Danio rerio: one gene and its partners. The protein of the gene in region 1 purifies or fractionates together with the protein of each later gene. This does not show direct contact. Links are inferred from orthologs where the notes say so. Each region holds a gene or a part of one and is shown in the gene's direction. Other genes may lie near its edges. The genes, in order: pfdn5, pfdn1, pfdn6 and vbp1.

What was found.
Region 2: the proteins of pfdn5 (region 1) and pfdn1 purify together in Homo sapiens (affinity purification with mass spectrometry; 7 studies listed by BioGRID and IntAct, with this or other methods). This does not show direct contact. The link is inferred for Danio rerio from reciprocal best matches to the Homo sapiens genes PFDN5 and PFDN1.
Region 3: the proteins of pfdn5 (region 1) and pfdn6 purify together in Homo sapiens (affinity purification with mass spectrometry; 5 studies listed by BioGRID and IntAct, with this or other methods). This does not show direct contact. The link is inferred for Danio rerio from reciprocal best matches to the Homo sapiens genes PFDN5 and PFDN6.
Region 4: the proteins of pfdn5 (region 1) and vbp1 purify together in Homo sapiens (affinity purification with mass spectrometry; 7 studies listed by BioGRID and IntAct, counting the BioPlex papers as one, with this or other methods). This does not show direct contact. The link is inferred for Danio rerio from reciprocal best matches to the Homo sapiens genes PFDN5 and VBP1.

What each region holds. Positions count from the first base shown.
Region 1 is NC_133181.1:42,214,853-42,219,413, reverse strand, and holds the start of pfdn5 (prefoldin subunit 5), read left to right. Parts: upstream 1-1,427; 5' UTR 1,428-1,433; coding exon 1,434-1,499; intron 1,500-2,537; coding exon 2,538-2,640; intron 2,641-2,716; coding exon 2,717-2,748; intron 2,749-2,880; coding exon 2,881-2,955; intron 2,956-3,039; coding exon 3,040-3,145; intron 3,146-4,561. UniProt on the Homo sapiens protein: Binds specifically to cytosolic chaperonin (c-CPN) and transfers target proteins to it. Binds to nascent polypeptide chain and promotes folding in an environment in which there are many competing pathways for nonnative proteins.
Region 2 is NC_133196.1:32,811,782-32,816,144, reverse strand, and holds the start of pfdn1 (prefoldin subunit 1), read left to right. Parts: upstream 1-1,501; 5' UTR 1,502-1,514; coding exon 1,515-1,547; intron 1,548-4,363. UniProt on the Homo sapiens protein: Binds specifically to cytosolic chaperonin (c-CPN) and transfers target proteins to it. Binds to nascent polypeptide chain and promotes folding in an environment in which there are many competing pathways for nonnative proteins.
Region 3 is NC_133189.1:35,059,931-35,064,344, reverse strand, and holds the start of pfdn6 (prefoldin subunit 6), read left to right. Parts: upstream 1-1,289; 5' UTR 1,290-1,325; coding exon 1,326-1,389; intron 1,390-4,414. UniProt on the Homo sapiens protein: Binds specifically to cytosolic chaperonin (c-CPN) and transfers target proteins to it. Binds to nascent polypeptide chain and promotes folding in an environment in which there are many competing pathways for nonnative proteins.
Region 4 is NC_133182.1:23,875,947-23,880,467, reverse strand, and holds the start of vbp1 (prefoldin subunit 3), read left to right. Parts: upstream 1-1,634; 5' UTR 1,635-1,658; coding exon 1,659-1,739; intron 1,740-2,002; coding exon 2,003-2,127; intron 2,128-2,554; coding exon 2,555-2,621; intron 2,622-3,349; coding exon 3,350-3,448; intron 3,449-4,521. UniProt on the Homo sapiens protein: Binds specifically to cytosolic chaperonin (c-CPN) and transfers target proteins to it. Binds to nascent polypeptide chain and promotes folding in an environment in which there are many competing pathways for nonnative proteins.

The sequences.
Region 1 (4,561 bases):
CATTTTGTGTGTTTTTCCACCAATCAGTGACAGATTTATGAATTTGGTAATTAGGAATTTAAACTGTAATTTCCTAAACAGTTTAGTAGTTTTGATCGGGACTGAGGTTGATTAACAGATTTATGGGAAAACATATTTATCTGATGCATTTTTACAGCAGTTTAAATTAGTGGAGGTTTTCATCCCAAACATAACAAAAGGGTAGCAAAATTGCCCAGAGTGTATCGTTAAGTTCTTTAAAAATGTCAAAGCATTTTCCAAAAACGTGTCAAAATTAAATTTGTCGCCAAAGTCGTTCTGCTAGTTGAAACAGAAAAAGTTGACCAAATGAAGACACAAAATCACCCCAGAGTGGATGAAAACACCCTCAACAGCACACAGGGGTTAACTGAAATGAGGGATGTGCTAGTAAAGGAGTACACATGGAGGAAAAACATGAATTGGTCATCTGTCACTGCAGACTGATGGATAAACCGACAGGCAACAAGGACTGTAAACACTGAAATCGGTGTTCCCATAAGTCTTCAAAATGTCAGGGACAGCGTTTTCAGAGACGTACAAATATCTGACGTACCTGATCTGATGTGATTCTTATGTGCTGAACGGCCAGGTTTAATGGTGAATCTGAAAAAATGAAATATTAATTTAAACAAGTGTTACGGACTTCCTGTCATGAGTTAGTGTTTCAGATGAGATTTTCTGCTTTTGTAAAATACACACTACTCCTGTTGGAGAAAACTCAGGACAATACCAAACACATAAAGGCAAACACACACATACACACACAAACATTAATGAATGCCCATGAGCTTTATAAGGATTTGAGCTGTGTACATTTTCTTCACTTTTTAACTGGTGTGTATTTTTAGTGTTCAATGTCTACTGAAATACAAACCTATTCTAATACTTAACAATGAGGCTTAAAATAGTTGAAATTTGTGCACCACATGCATTGACAATGAATAGTTTGTTAATTGATTAATAAGGATTTACTCATGTTTACATACTAATCAAATACATTCCCTACTGAAAAATCAGTTGACCAGCCTGGTTTTAGAGGGGTTTTGGCCATTTCCAGGCTAGTTTCCAGCCATTTCCAGCCTGGTCTTAGCTGGTCAGGCTGGAAAATGACCAGCCAAATCCAACTAAAACCAGCTTGCCCAGCCTGGTTTAAGCTGGATATAGCTGGTTTTGGCTGGACTCCCAGCTTGGCTAGGCTGGTCAAGCTGGTTTTAGCTGGTCATCTCCCTTTTTTTTTAAGGTAATGTTAATACATGCTGTATAAATGCACTGTTAGTTTATTTAGTCGACGTTTTATTTGTTAAAGTATAACAAATGACTGTAGTGTGTAATGGAAAAAAATCAATGGTAAAAGTCCTTTTAGTTGCGTCCGCTTGACCCGGAAGTTTTCCTCACCCTCTTTTATTGTCAACATGGCGGTGAATCTCACTGAATTGTCTCTTCCACAATTAGAAGGCTTGAAAACTCAGCTTGATCAGGTAAATTGTGTTAAAAATAAAAAACATCATCGTTTCGTATGTCCGAGTAGCATCAGGTGCTGCTGTTTTTCTGTCAGTGAATTAATTTACTGACGGGCTGCGGTTGTCATGCTGTCTGTGCGCGTGCTGCTGCTGCTGGTAATGCGGAAAAAAAGCCCTCTATGATTGTCCACATGGCTGCATTTATTCCGTATGACAGAAAATGAGATGCAGAATGACTTTATCGACGTTCACTTGCATTGTATGTGAATGGTGTCTCAGTCAGTTCTCACTAAACACAACTTGGTTTTATTTTAACGAGTTCACAGTTTGAAATATATTTTGGTACCAAGTCTATAATCTGTATAAGATTAATTTAAAAGACTAATTTTGTTTTTCTGTGAGTAAACTTTTGAAGTTTACATGTGTCCTGATTATCTGTTTTATTTTGACCGTCATATTTATTTTACTGTATTTTACAGAAGACCCCAACAAAAATGTCATAACAATAGTTTATATATATTAAAAATTCTGGGCAGCCATATTTTTAGACCAAGATTATTTTGATGGCATTTAACTATTTAAAGGTTGAACTGTAGCTCCCAAATTCTAATTATTTTTCTTTTTTTAAACATGCATAATTTGTCACTATCCTTCAAACCCTTTATTTTACTAATTTTTACTTTTAAGGTTTAAAACCTTGACTATTCCAAACCTTGCCGGTTTACCTTGCAAACAGTTATCGCCCCATACCTAGTACAGAATAAGTACTATGTTTTTCCCATTTTTAAATAAATATATATGTTGCTCTGAATTACCCTGACATTATTTCCTAAATTATTATTATTGTTAATTATTTGATAGATTTTCACTCATTTTTTGATTTTATTTTTACAAAAGTTATTTGAAACATTTAAGTTAACACTTTGCTTGCGTTCAGTGTGCTTTCTGTGAATATAAATGCAATAATGTTAATTTACTTTGAGACACCAAAAAGGGACATCTCAAGGTAGATTTACACGTTATTTTGTATAAATTGCTTAAAAATGTGTTTTCTAGGAAACAGAGTTCCTGTCATCGTCTATAGCTCAGCTGAAAGTCGTCCAAACAAAATATGTGGAGGCCAAAGACAGTTTGAATGTGCTTAACAAGAGCAATGAAGGTGACTTTTAAAACTCTTTTATGACGTTTTTAGCTAAATCTGACGTTTGCTAATTTTTTTTTACTTTTTCTCTCAGGTAAAGAACTACTCGTCCCTCTCACCAGTTCTGTATCCTCTAAACAGCTGAGTTATAAATGAGTTCTGATTGATTTATGCCACATAAGAAAGTCACACAGACAGTTTGATGTGTGTGTAATTAATTTGCAGTGGTCCGTTATTCCCTTAACCTCAGTCATGTAGATGTATGTACCTGGAAAGCTGCATGATGTGGATCATGTGTTAGTGGATGTGGGAACAGGTTATTTTGTGGAGAAGGTGAGTAAGAATCAGTCTAGTAGTTTTAGTATATGTAAAAATGTCAAAACTGAGTAAATCACATTGCCTTTTCTGTCTTTTCAGAATGTAGAGGACGGCAAAGAGTTCTTTAAACGCAAAATCGACTTCCTTACTAAACAAATTGAAAAGATTCAGCCTGCTCTTCAAGAAAAATATGCCATGAAACAAGGTGATTTTCTTGTCTTTTGAAAAACATGTTTCTTATGTTCACCATAGCTGATAAAAATACAGTACATTTTTATTGTATTTCTTTTTTCACTATTTTCAAGTAAGCCTGTCACAATAATCAATATAACGACTGAGCGTACAACACATGGACATGACCTCAATCATTTTTGGTGATGCAATATAAATCACACATACATAAAGACCAATTCTGGCAATATTTTAGGTGTTTGTGCAACATCTCTATCTATTGGAGATGTCAGTATGGTTAAAAATCACAATTTTATTTACTATAGATTACTGTCGTATATTTTCATGTGGGTGTCTAACAACTGAAAATAGATCTGGGGTCCGTTCTTCGTACCTCGCTTAAATGATATAAGATGATTTGGCAGATCCTGGATCTTTTCATCTTGATAACTGATCTCTGGCTAATTTGGTTCTTCAAACAAGTTTGCGAATCCGATTAGAATGTCTGGATAAACTGATCTGAGATCGCTGCATGTGTTGTGAAGGACAGATCCATCGATCCTCGAAATCATGATCAGCAATGCAACGATTGGCTGACGGCACAGCAGCGTAATGACATCATCTGAATAATATTCAATTATCCATGTGAGCAAAATTACATCAAACAAGCAGTAAACGGTTTGTTGTGAGCTGCAGGCTTAACACTTTCATGTGTCAAGAGTATTCATTATGTATTTTAAAGCATATCAATGTATTTAGTTCTACATTTAGAGAAGATTTTCTTTATTATAGTAGCTTAGGCCTACTCAAGTTTTTTTTAATTGGAGTAAGGAATAACTGTATGAATTAATTTTCCATCAAAAAAGCATTTTGATAAAGGTGAAGGTGTCTGCAACTTTTGTGAAGCAACATATCACCGGCATATTGGCGATCACAACATGTGCATGACTGCATAAATCAGTATCCTTTTTTTAAAAAAGTTGAATATTGTGCATTTGCATTGTATTTAAAAAGTTCATATCAATACATTTTCTCTTTGAACCACCAGGTGGCAGTCTTTGTACTTATTTCGGAGTGCAGATTGCATAAGTTTTATTTATCTATATATTTCTTAAATTATAGTAACTTATAGTTGAAATATATATATATTTACTATTTTTCCAAGTGTATAAAACTACTGTAAGAAAATATCAGCATTTGGTACATACTTAAAGTATTATCTTTGCTTAAACTAACCAGATCTAATCCTGTTTATATCAAATGAGCCTGCTCCCTAGCAGGTTTGACCTACCAGAACTGTTGCTATGACAACAAGTCTCAGATGAGTTTTGAAGAACTAAACAATCCTGGATCATGTCAAATCGCCAATAACCAAATCCAGCTTATTAAGTAATCCATGTACGAAGAACGGACCCCTGGTAGCAGATATTATAGCCTCTGTTACTAAAAT
Region 2 (4,363 bases), on another chromosome or scaffold:
GTGTACTGAATGCACTGCGAGTTTTGTAAATGTGTTTTTATTGTATAGATATTTATTATCGATGAATACAATCAATTAATGTTCTAATAGGACTGAAGTTGCATCGCAAACTTTACAATCGCATTCGGAGGACAGTACGGTTTGAATAATATTTTAGCTAAACTGTGAATTAAACATTTGCGAATGCAATCAAATAAATGTACTCTGCAGGAATGTCAGACGCAGGGCTTAAGCCTTTTTTATATGTATTACTGAGAAAGTGTAGCTTAAATTAAGTGAAATAAAATGGAATACGTTTATTAGTGTGTTTGTTTTATGCGTTTAGTATAAATTACATGATTTCATGTACTAATTTCAAGCAATGGTAACAAATTTCTGCTGTTTAATAAACTATTGTGACTTTCTAAGTGTCTCTTATTTTTGTTGAAAACCTGGGAAAGATTCATAAGTGGCACCGTATTTGTCACAACTAATTAATTCATTCATTTTACTTCGGCTTAGTCTCTTTATTTATCAGGGGTTTGCCCCAGTGGAATGAATCACTAACCAGCACATGTTTTACACAACAAATGCCCTAATAACTGCAACCCAGTACTGGACAAGATACATAAACACTCATTAAATTCACACACATACAGTACCAATTTAGTTTATTCAATTCACTGCATGTCTTTGAACTGTGGGGGAAACCGGCGCACCCTGAGGAAACCCACGCCAACATGGAGAGAACATGCAAACTCCAAAGAATTGCCCACTGACCCAGCTGGGACTCGAACCAGAGATCTTCTTGCTGTGAGAAGACAGTGCTATCCACTAAGCCACCGTGTCGTCCCACAACCAATAATAAAACTATTTTTATTATTTAGATTTACTATTTTTTATTTATAAAATTTTAGTGTGTCGGATATAAATCTGCAGATATACAGATGTATGTTGTAAAGTTTAAACACTCACTGTGTGAAGTTATAAAAATATTGTGTTGTCATTACTACATCTGATATACTTGTCTTTAGCTTGGAGATTTAAGTCTCAAGTTGGTTTACCATCATTTGTCTCCTGAGGAAACCAAACAGAGTGTTAACAGGAGTTAAAATGCAGAACATACACGACTTTACAATACAAAACAACACGTTAATAGTAATAAAAAAATCTTGAGCAATGTTGCCACTGGGGTGACACATTTTACATGTAGCACACAATAATAGACACTAAAAATAAGTCCGCTTAAAGTCCGCTTAAATTAAGAGTCAGCTTCTAAACATTTTGACGCTAACATTGGTATAACGCTGAAACCTTTATCATATACTGTCATTTCTGTTGCACTGTTTTGAGATTGAAAGTAGTCCACAAACTTACCGTGTCTGCAAAACTACCGAGCTGCCTTTTTAGTGAACATTTATTGTGGATTGCCTGCCTGTCTGACATTGAAAATGTTGTCTATGTAGGCCGCTCACTAGGTTTTGCAACAAGCTCTTTGTTTCGCGCATGCGCAGGGACTCGTACCACTTAGCATCATGGCGGCTCCCGTAGACCTCGAGTTGAAGAAGGTAAAGGGTGGTTTTTGGTTTTATATCTAAAAACCAAACAGAGTTGTTACTTTGTTATGATAAAATACTGAATAAATGTTATTAAGCTTTTGTGGAGCAGAAGTAAGGTATAAAACTGTTTAAGCAACGCGATCTGTCAGTGTGTAACGTAGGTGCATGCGAATCCTTTTAATGTGTATTGTTTGTTATAAAGATGTGCAACGTCATATTTATAGTTTACCACTGTAAATCCTTTAGAAATGAATATCCAAACACATATCAATCTATCAACACATCATTACATGCTATAGGAAGCTTTCAATATGGCTTATTCTTTAGTTTTTGCTTATCCATATATATATATATATATATATATATATATATATATATATATATATATATGACATAATTTGTTGAAATATAACTGTTACAGCTATAGGAAATGCTGGATTTGCTGTATTACATATGAATTTGATAAAAAATTTATTATTGTGCTGTCAAAAAGAGCTGTCAAATGTTTAATCATAATTAGTCACATGCAAAATAATATTTTTTATTTACAAAATATTTAGTGATGTCTATATTTATGTATATTTTATATATATTTATAGATTATATGTTGTGACTTTCTAAGTGTCTTATTTTTGTTCTAGAATTTATGTTGAAAACCTGGGAAAGATTTATTAGTGGCACCAAATTTGTCACAACTAATTCATTCATTCATTCATTTTACTTCGGCTTCTCTTTATTCATCAGGGGTCGCCACAGTGGAACGAATCGCCAACTTATCCAGCACATGTTTTACATAACGAATGCCCTACCAACTGCAACAACATATAACAACATATAAATTGTTTAAATATAACAGTTACAGCTATAGGAAATGCTGAATTTGCTGTATTACATATGAATGTGAAAAAAATGTTATTATTGTGCTGTCAAAAAGAGCTGTCAAATGTTTAATCGTAATTAGTAACATACAAAATAATATTTTTTATTATATCTATAGATGATTTATTATTATAAAAATACAGTTATATTTATGTATAATTAGTATTATATGCAAACATTAATGATAGATAATTATAAATAAACATTTTTTTTTAAATGAATGTGTATTAATATATTAATATATACATAAGATATTTTATTTGCATTCATTTTGCAATGCAATAATCACAATTACTCATTTGATGACACATACAAATTATAAATATAAAGCTTTTATAAATAGAAACAAAATCTGTGTTATTTCCAGGATATCTGTGGGGTCTTAAAAAGTCTTAAAATGTCTTAAATCTCAAAAACAAAATTTTAGGCCTTAAAAAGTATTAGATTTACTAAAATATTGTGTTGTAGGTCTTAAATATTTTTTAGCAGGTCTTAATTTTCCTATGTTCATGAATAACTACCCAATCTGGCCATTAACACTCAACAATCACCAACAATCCCAATCTCAATAAAACTTTTAACGTTTTATTTAAAAATAGCATTTAATTACTTTTCTCACAGTAACATTTGTTAAAAAGTACTCCACTTTATATACCGCTGTGGTTGCTGACCTGACCTACATTTTGTATTATTAAAATATTATTATTGTAGACGGAAGTAATTGACAGCTATGCTTTGTTCTATTCTTGGTAAGGGTTATAGGAAGGCCCACACGGAATCTGCGCATGCAAATTTCCGCAGACTTTTAGCCCATCATTGAGTCTATTTATTTACTTGTATAAATGTGTATAAAATTATATTTATTCAGTTTTAAATTGTTTTCAATAATATTATTGTGATATAACAATAGTAATATTAAAATGTTCATATGATGTATTTACAATTCAGTTTTTAGAGTAATATTTTCTGTCTTTTAGTGGATGTATTATGAGAAACTTGCTTTGTTTACTAAATACGTGGATCTAGTTGGATTTGCATTGTAAACATAAGAGCTAAAAAGCTGTTGCTTTTATTTCATGTATTAAGTTTTTAGTTATGACGCTATAACCATAATCATTCCACAAAAATCAGCTGTTTTATTTTTTTATTTTTTTATTTTACAAATTTCTCAGCAGAAATAGCAAAAATGTCAGCAGATTCTGTCTGGCCCTGATTATTGGGTTTGTAGATGAATATTTTTGAAAATTTATAAAAAAAATATTGAAACATAATATTTCCTGTATTCAATGTTAATATTTTTTTTATCTAGCAAGTGAAAATCTTTTCTAACTTGGATATAAAAAATCCTCAGCATTAAGTTCTGTATAAGTCTAAAATTGCATTCATAATGGTCTTAAAAATGTCTTAAAATGTCCTAAATTTAATTTTGTGAAACCTGCAGAACCCTGTATTTCATTCAGAAAACAAAAATCAATGTCATTTCCGCCAAATTTAGATTTTTTTTTAACTCATCAGAAGCGACGTGTTTTCTAAAACAGAATATAAACATGTATGCACGTTTTTTGCTATTTTATGCAAATTCAGGGAAAAAAATGAATAAAATTTTATTGTAAATTTACAGTTGAAGTCAGAATTATTAGCCCCCCTGTTAATTTTTTCCCCCAATTAAGCATAAAAGTTTTAATAGATCATTTCTAATAACGGATTTATTTTATCTCTGCCATGATGACAGTAAATAATATATTACTAGATATTTTTTAAGACACTACTATACAGCTTAAAGTGACATTTAAAATTTAAAAACTGCTTTTATTCTAGCCGAAATAAAACAAATAACACTTTTTCCAGAAGATAAAAATATTATCAAAGATGCTGTAAAAATGTTCTTGCTCTGTTAAACATCATTTGGAAAATATTTAAAAAAGAAAAAAAATCAAAGGGGGGCT
Region 3 (4,414 bases), on another chromosome or scaffold:
AAGTGATTTCTTCAACTAAAATTGCAGGTTCAGAGGACTAATCATCATACAAATGTTTTATATGAATTTTACAAAGTGACAACCTCTGTCATAACTCTAAAACCATGAACACATTTCATAATACACATTCAACTCACAGCAAAGATATCAGGTTCATTATAGAAAAAAGCAAAAATAGCCACACTCAAAATGACTGCCTGACAAAACAATAGAATTTATGAATTATTTATGTTTTATTCTATTATTTCATTCCTGCCCTTATGAAATTGAACCAAGGGAAGTGTGTGTGTGCGCGTGTTTTGACAGACATATTATTAGTGTAACTAACGTTACAGGTTTACCACAGATACTATGGTTAAATGGTGGTTAATGGTTGTTTGTTTGTTTGTCATCTTAGAAAATTTGATTTTTTTATTGAAAAAAATAAAAAAAGTTTTGAAGAATCACAAGAAGAAGAATAACGTTACTAGCAAATATCGATAAAGTTAAAACATCATGACATCTATTACGAAAATTAACCATGGTTTTACCACAAAAACTAACCATGGTAACCTCAAATCAACATGGTTTTGTTACACTAACCCCAGCTAAACTGTAGTACTTTCAGTAATACTGTGGTTATAAATAACAATCGATACGACAAAAAAAGTATGATTACACTTAACTCTTTAAACCATGGTTCATTCTCGTAATAGATGAATATAGCACATGATACTATTTTACCCTACATATGTTTAAAACGCTGCTTAAGGTGCAGATTTAGAACAGTCATTACATTTGCTTGTGTTATAGAAAAAATATATAACTGACTTTACCTGCTGTTGTGATTCTATGTGGTCGCGCACACCCGAAAAAAGACCTTCACGTTAGAATTTGAACCATGCGCGCTGCCATATTGCCTTGACTGTCACTACAGAGGGCTTGGAGGAAGAGGATAGACTGACACCACATGGACAGGAGAGGCACTACGCTTTTAGATACTGGAAAAATTGTACCCATCGTATTAATCCAAAAATCACATTAACTGATGCGTTAAATCTACATATGGTGCGTAAAATTATAGAGCAAATTATTTAAAGGTGTGTGAATAAACATAATACTGAAAAAAATTGTGTATGTTTTTCTTAAACACTAGATGGCGAAGTAACTCTTTTTATCAGCTATCGTAAAACCCCCATGTGACGCAATGATATGACGTCATTTCCCGTGCGCCTCAGACTGTGTGCTTGAGTAGTGTGCTGCTGACTGTCTGCATTTGTCATAAAATATCGTGATTTTTATTATTTAGCAATAATAATAAGTCAGACATTGGAATAGCAGGTGTGATGGCTGAAGCGATTCAGAAGAAATTGCAAGCTGAGTTGGAGAAATATCAACAACTCCAGAAAGGTAACTTACAGCACGAAAAGCTCAGAGTTAGCAATCCAACACTCCCTGCATGGGCATCTTTATATTGAGGCAAAGTTGGTTTTATATTCGCACATTCGTTCAGTGACAATGTGTGGCATGCTCCCTATATTGTTTACCATGGTACTTTGAATATTCGGTCTGAAATCACATGTAAATAAGACTACATTAACGTTATCACTATTTATTTGACTGAATAATGGTGTAATTTGATAGCCATCGTCTGCTAATATGGTTTCACTATTTAGGATTTGCTAACTACAGAATACTTTTCGGAATTTTTAATAGGAGAAAGTCTGAATGTGTAAATATAAAACCAACTTTACCTCATTGTGTAAATTGGCTTTCTCTCTAAAAATCTTATTAAAGTATTTTTGTCAATTCTAAATGGTAAAATCATATTAGCAGCCATTGACTATCAAAATCACCATGGTAAACAATGTAGGGATGTCACAAGTTTTCACTGAACGAATGTGCGAATATAAAACCAACTTTACCTCAATCATCTTTATGTTCGGCTCCTTTAATAATTTATATTTAACGTATTTGTAGTAATTTGTTGTATTCAGGTTTAATATCTATGTAGTGCAATGCACTGATAAAGTACAAATGTCACGGTTATGTTGTATTTGGACTTGATTTAGCTACCCAGAGCTATTTTAGACAAAATCCACATTCAATCTACAAATTCTCATTATTGAACGTTTTAAAAAGGCTTTTACTATTTTATTTTATTTTATGATTCATTGTGTAAGTTTCTTGGTATTTATAGTAACACCATTATGAATATTCATATAGCCAAGTTATACCAGTGTACACTTGCACATTTCCTGCAACATATCTTTGAATAAATAAAAAGTTTTAACTAAATTAGAATAAATATAATTAATTTGAGATTTTATAAATCATGATTGTTCAAAAAACATATACCAAATAATGCATATATATATGTATGTATGTATATATGTATGTATGTATGTGTGTGTATATATGTATGTGTGTGCTCCTTTAATAATTTATATTTAACGTATTTGTAGTAATTTGTTGTATTCAGGTTTAATATCTATGTAGTGCAATGCACTGATAAAGTACAAATGTCACGGTTATGTTGTATTTGGACTTGATTTAGCTACCCAGAGCTATTTTAGACAAAATCCACATTCAATCTACAAATTCTCATTATTGAACGTTTTAAAAAGGCTTTTACTATTTTATTTTATTTTATGATTCATTGTGTAAGTTTCTTGGTATTTATAGTAACACCATTATGAATATTCATATAGCCAAGTTATACCAGTGTACACTTGCACATTTCCTGCAACATATCTTTGAATAAATAAAAAGTTTTAACTAAATTAGAATAAATATAATTAATTTGAGATTTTATAAATCATGATTGTTCAAAAAACATATACCAAATAATGCATATATATATGTATGTATGTATATATGTATGTATGTATATATGTATGTATGTATGTGTGTGTGTATGTATATATATATATATATATATATATATATATATATATATATATATATATATATATATATATACATACATGCATGCATGCATGCATGCATGCATGCATACATACATACATACATATACATACATATACACACATTTCAAAACATGAATTCCCAGAGAAGCTACCAACCACAGAGTCATGGGAGCAGAAAAAATCAATCTGTAAATTTTTAAAAAATTAAATACATTTTAAATAAATAAATAAACATGTGTTATGGATGTGACGAAAAAAGTCTGCGAGTTTACAGTATACAACATACTTTGATGTTGATGTTGATGTTGTTTTTATTTAATTTAGTGATAATATATATATATATATATATATATATATATATATATATATATATATATATATATATATATATATATATTAAATATATATAAATAAAATAACATTAAATATAAACATTTCCCCGAGATGGGTTGCGGCTGGAAGGGCATCTGCTGCGTAAAAACTTGCTGGGTAAGTTGGCGGTTCATTCCGCTGTGGCGACCCTGGATGAATAAAGGGACTAAGCCCACAAGAAAATGAATGAAATAAAAACAATATCAACCTTTAAAACTTTCAGTAATGATAAATCATTCATCATTTTTTTCGGCTTAGTCCCTTTATTAATTTGGGGTTGCCATAGCGGAATGAACCGCTAACTTATCCAGCACGTTTTACACAGCGAATGCCCTTCTATCTGTAACCCATCACTAGTAAACTATACACAATCATTCACACACATACATTACAAACAATTTAGCTCACCCAGTTCACCTACTGACCCAGCCGAGGCTTGAATCAGCGACTTTCTTGCTGTGAGGCGACTGCGCTGCCCACTGCGCCACCATGCTGCCCAGTAATGATAATACTGTAGCTTATTATAAGCTTTAGATTTTAAATTAAAAATAGATTTTATTGATAATAGAAAATATGTAATTGCTTTGATTTTAATGTCTCATGATTGCTCAAATATTTTAAAATTAAAATATTTAATGAAAGGCAAAATTATAATATTACTACATATTATAAAACAGACCAGTGTATTGTACTTGTGTAAACTTTCACTTTAATGTGTTTGATTTCTTTTTAAAATAACAGACATATCATGTATTCATATTTTTCAGAAAACATTATCCAAAAAGTGTGAGATATAGTGTAAAAATGAAACATATTCTAATCTATCATGGTTTAGCTTTTAACATGAAGATATCTTTATATTGTATTAAAATATTAGAAGGGTATTTGTTGACATTTAATGGTTTGTGACACATGTAGTTATATTTCATAAAATGTTATAAATAAGTGTGATGTCTATTTTGAAACTCTAATAATGCTAAATATAATTTAAAAAATGTTTTGTTCCCTTCCATTACTAAAAACATAGCAATTTCTTATATACATGTTATTTTTAAATTATAAAAATATAGCTTTTTTAAAAACCTTTTTTAAATGTTATTATTCTGTAATGTCATCGTTTATATAAAATGTGT
Region 4 (4,521 bases), on another chromosome or scaffold:
TTACACACCGAATTGGCAACAGAGCCAACAGAGGATTCCGTTTGGTCTTAAGTTTTTTTTATATGGGTTATTTTCACTATTTATGATGACATAGCAGTCAAAATAGGACAACCGAGCTCATGTATGGGGTCAATACTAGACCTCTGTCAGAGAGGGGTGGGTCTTCTGAACCACCTGCACCCCCCATGGCTACAGGCCTGACATAGTTTGCCACTTTACCTTATTCTGTTATCCGAAGAGGAAAAATGAAAAAACATATGCTGAATAGGTTGGCGGTTCATTCCACTGTGGCGACCCCTAATTAATAAAAGGACTAAGCCAAAAATGAACGAATGAACATTGGAGTATTCTTTTGACTTGTTTTTTAAAAAAATAACACACACACACACACACACACATAAACACAAACCAAAGTATATGCTGCACATTTCAGTATTCACATATTTTGTTTTACTGTAAGAAACTGAAAATTACCAATAAAAATATGAATTATTATCTTTTTAAAATAAGCTGGTTTCACCCTCTATTCTAAAGAGGGTGGAATGTGCTTCTGTTTAATTAATCTGCATGTATTTTGGCTAGTTTCCACATTCTTTAATGCAATTTACCCTAAATATACTGCATTTTTGACTTAGGCTCATTCATTCACTGACTAATTTTCTTAGCTTAGTCCTTAAATCCATCAGTGGTCACCACAGCAGAATGAACAGCCAACTTATCCAGCATATAATTCACACAGCGGATGCCCTTCCAGCTGCAACCCAGTAGGCAACTGGGAAACATCCATACACATTCATTCACACACATACACTACGGCCAATTTAGTTTATTCAATTCACTTAGCACATGTCTTTGGACTGTTTGGGGGAAACCGGAGCACCCGGAGGAAACCCACACAAACACAGGCAGAACATGCAAACTCCACACAGAAATCCCAGCCGGAATTTCGAACCAGTGACCTTCTTGCTCTTAGACAACAGTGCTAACCACTGAGCCACCGTGTCGCCCTTGCCTTAATCTGTTTTATATTTGTTTCTCTTCTGCTTTTATTTACAATCATTTTTAAATATGAATTATAATGTGACACTGTATGTGTGATATAAGTGCATATATAGGCCTATTTAATAAAACACATCTAATAAGGTGCTATTCTTGCCCTGCTACTTACTTTCACCTAAAGATCCACATGCAGACAAAGAAAGCCTGTACTGAAGCTGACAGTAACATTAGTAAGCAGAACAGACAGACTCAATAATAATATTATGAAAAATCAAACTGAAGACTAAGAGCCAATGTATTTATCTGTTTTTTCATATCACCGCAAATGTATTGGATCAAACCTCTGGCTTGCCACCAACTGCTGTCGTCACGGCCAGCGCCTCGTGCTATTTCTCATGTCAATCAGGCAACACTGACATCTGCCGGTCGGTTTGATAAATGTCGGATATTATTAAAAAACATACGTTAACAAAGACAGATGGACTACATTTGAATTTAAATATGATATAAAAAGAAATTAATGACAAAATGGCCAGATGAAATCATCACCTGCTCATTGTTATAAGAAGAAGAAAGTCACTTTTATTATGCACGCGGCGCCCGTGCGTAAGAACAGCGTGCGCGTGCGTCAAAGAGGAAGAGTCGTAAGTCTCTCCAAAATGGCGACGACCATAGAAAGTGGCAATGCAGGAGCTGCAAATAAGAAAAAACACCTCGGAATCCCTGAAGCAATATTTGTGGTCAGTGCGAAAGGGATATATAGTTAATTTTCATGTCCATGCTGTCGACATGTTTCTGTCTGTGTTGGTTTGTTCGTCTTTAAACGGCTTTAAGTAAGAAAGCGCCTTGTTCTTCTCCTTATAAGGGTGCAGGGATTGCTTGCTCATGTCTTGAATGTGAGCTTTGAGTGACAGAGAACATGTGAATAACTGGCTCTCAAAAACCGCTTTGTTAATTATAAGCCTTAATTAACCAGATGTGAAACACATTGTGTGTTCTGTAGGAAGATGTGGACGCCTTCATGAAGCAGCCGGGCAATGACACAGCAGACGCCGTGCTGAGGAAGCTGGATGAACAATATCAGAAATATAAATACATGGAGCTCAATCTGGGGCAGAAGAAACTCAGGTTTGGTTTTGATCTGTTCTACGTTGTGCTGTAAAAAGAAGTCAATCTTTCAGTCACAAATTACAATAAGATTTCATTGGGTAATGTATTTACTGACACAACCAATGATTAACAACACTTGCACAGCATTTATTGATCATAGTTCTACATAAATGTACTAATGCATCAATAACATCCAAATTTATGCTTAATATTAGTTAATGTATCGTGAGTTAACATGAACTAACAATGAACAACTGTATTTTCATGAACTACTGTTAACGAACATCTAATACTGTCATAAATGTATGTTTCATTGTTTGTTTATGTTAGTATATGCATTAACTAATAAAACCTTACTGTAAAGTGCTCTGGATAGCATGCGTATATGTGGCTACAAGTTGTTTTTGCAGACTATAATTGTTGACATTTTTTCCCTCTGTTTCAGGTTGAAAAGCCAAATTCCACAAATCAAACAGACATTAGAAATCCTACGGCACATGCAGAAAAAGAAGGTAAGCTCATTTCTTAATTAATGGTGATTTAAAAAGAAAATTTGTCTCAAAATTGCTTCACAGAAACAAATCAAAGTTCAGTCTAAAATTACTTAAAATGATTTCTCAAAGTTATTTACTGCTTTTAGGATTTCTTTCATGTACTCCTTGTGAGAAGTATATATATATATATATATATATATATATATATATATATATATATTTATATATATACTTTTTTTAATAAATGTATATAAATATTTTTTTTGTAGTGTGTTGCAGAAGAGCAGTCACATATTAGATCACGTGTCATAATTGTGTCTTTAACATACACATAAATGTGTCTATTCATCATAAACTGGCCTGTCAATCAGCCTGTCATTTAAAGTCAGTCTTTTTCTCTATACATGTTATAGATCTTTTTGTGCTCTTTTGCTTCTAGGGCTGTGTAATTGAGGGGAAAAATGAACATTTCAATATTTTATTTTTCATCTTTGTAAACAAATGATCTTAATACAATAAATCATATAAGCATAATTAAGGTGATTTTGTTTTTTAATATTATAATATTAACAGAGGTTTTTTAATATTATAATCAAAAACAAATTATTACAATACAGTAAGATAGTTATGAAATTCGCCCTAAAATTACATTTTAAATGATAAATTTTTGAGATGCAGCAAGTGTATTGTTCTGCTTCACCAGAATTCCTCTTTATTTATTTTTATTTATGCATATCAAATCAAAGGACACCACAGATCCCATGGAGACACATTTTCTGTTGGCTGATAACGTCTACTGCAAGGCCTCTGTTCCACCTACAGATAAAGTGTGCTTGTGGCTTGGGGTAAGTGTTGAATGTTGAGTCCTGATGCATTTGATGTGAGCATGAAATCAAAATAATTATTATCTATCAAGATAATTATCTTTTAATTTAATGGTTTATTATAAGACCAAGTGTGGTACTGATTTTTGTTTTTTTACTACCCTGTGTCACTGCATTACATTATGAGCTGTGAAATCCTTGTTGTGTTGACTAAAACAACTGCTTTAAAAAGCATGTGTGAAAGTGTTGACGATCATTGCCTTTGTTTTGCTCTTTTGTACTGCTTATGAACTCATGAAACCTCTTCATCACTTGTAGCGTACCGGGTTCCCACATGTCTTAAAATTACTAGAATTTTATAATGTTTATTCCAGATATTGTCAGTAGGGATGTAACGATATTAAAACCGACCCGAAATATCACAATACACCAACCACGATACGTATCTTGAAACTCGTGGCATACCGCGATATTCTTATGCCCCCTGCTGCCCATTGTTGAGGTTGACATCACTTGTCTCTAACTAATTGAACCAATTTAAACATATTTATCACATTTGATTAAATTGTTTTAGTAATGATGAGCTTTTGTTTTAAATATTATATTCTTAAGTTAGTATTTTCCAAGTGCATGTCATGTGATGTGACTTAAGAAAGCATCACACTCAGTTACTACTGTATGCAGGATGGCTGCTTCACACAGTACTGAGATTCCAGATCCCCCAGACACATTTAAGTCATCTGTGTGGGAACATTTTGGTTTTCCAGTGGAGTACTGGAATGGAATTTGTGTCGTAGACAAAGCACACGTCTATCTATCGTAACTGTTTCACAACTTACACAAAACCTCACAATGTGAGGGTGTAAGCAACAGAACTGCCAACTAAAGTGATTTAATCTACAAAAGTGAAACCAGAAAAATGCCCAAATATATACAAAAAAGAGAAATATTTACACTAATAAAAATAATATAATAAAGTAGCAAATTCAAACAAAGGATCAAACAAAAATGAGTTAAACTTGAGTAAGGGGACAATTGTGAAGCCAAGCAAAAGAAAGAAATATAACAAAACAATTTTAACTCATGAATAACCG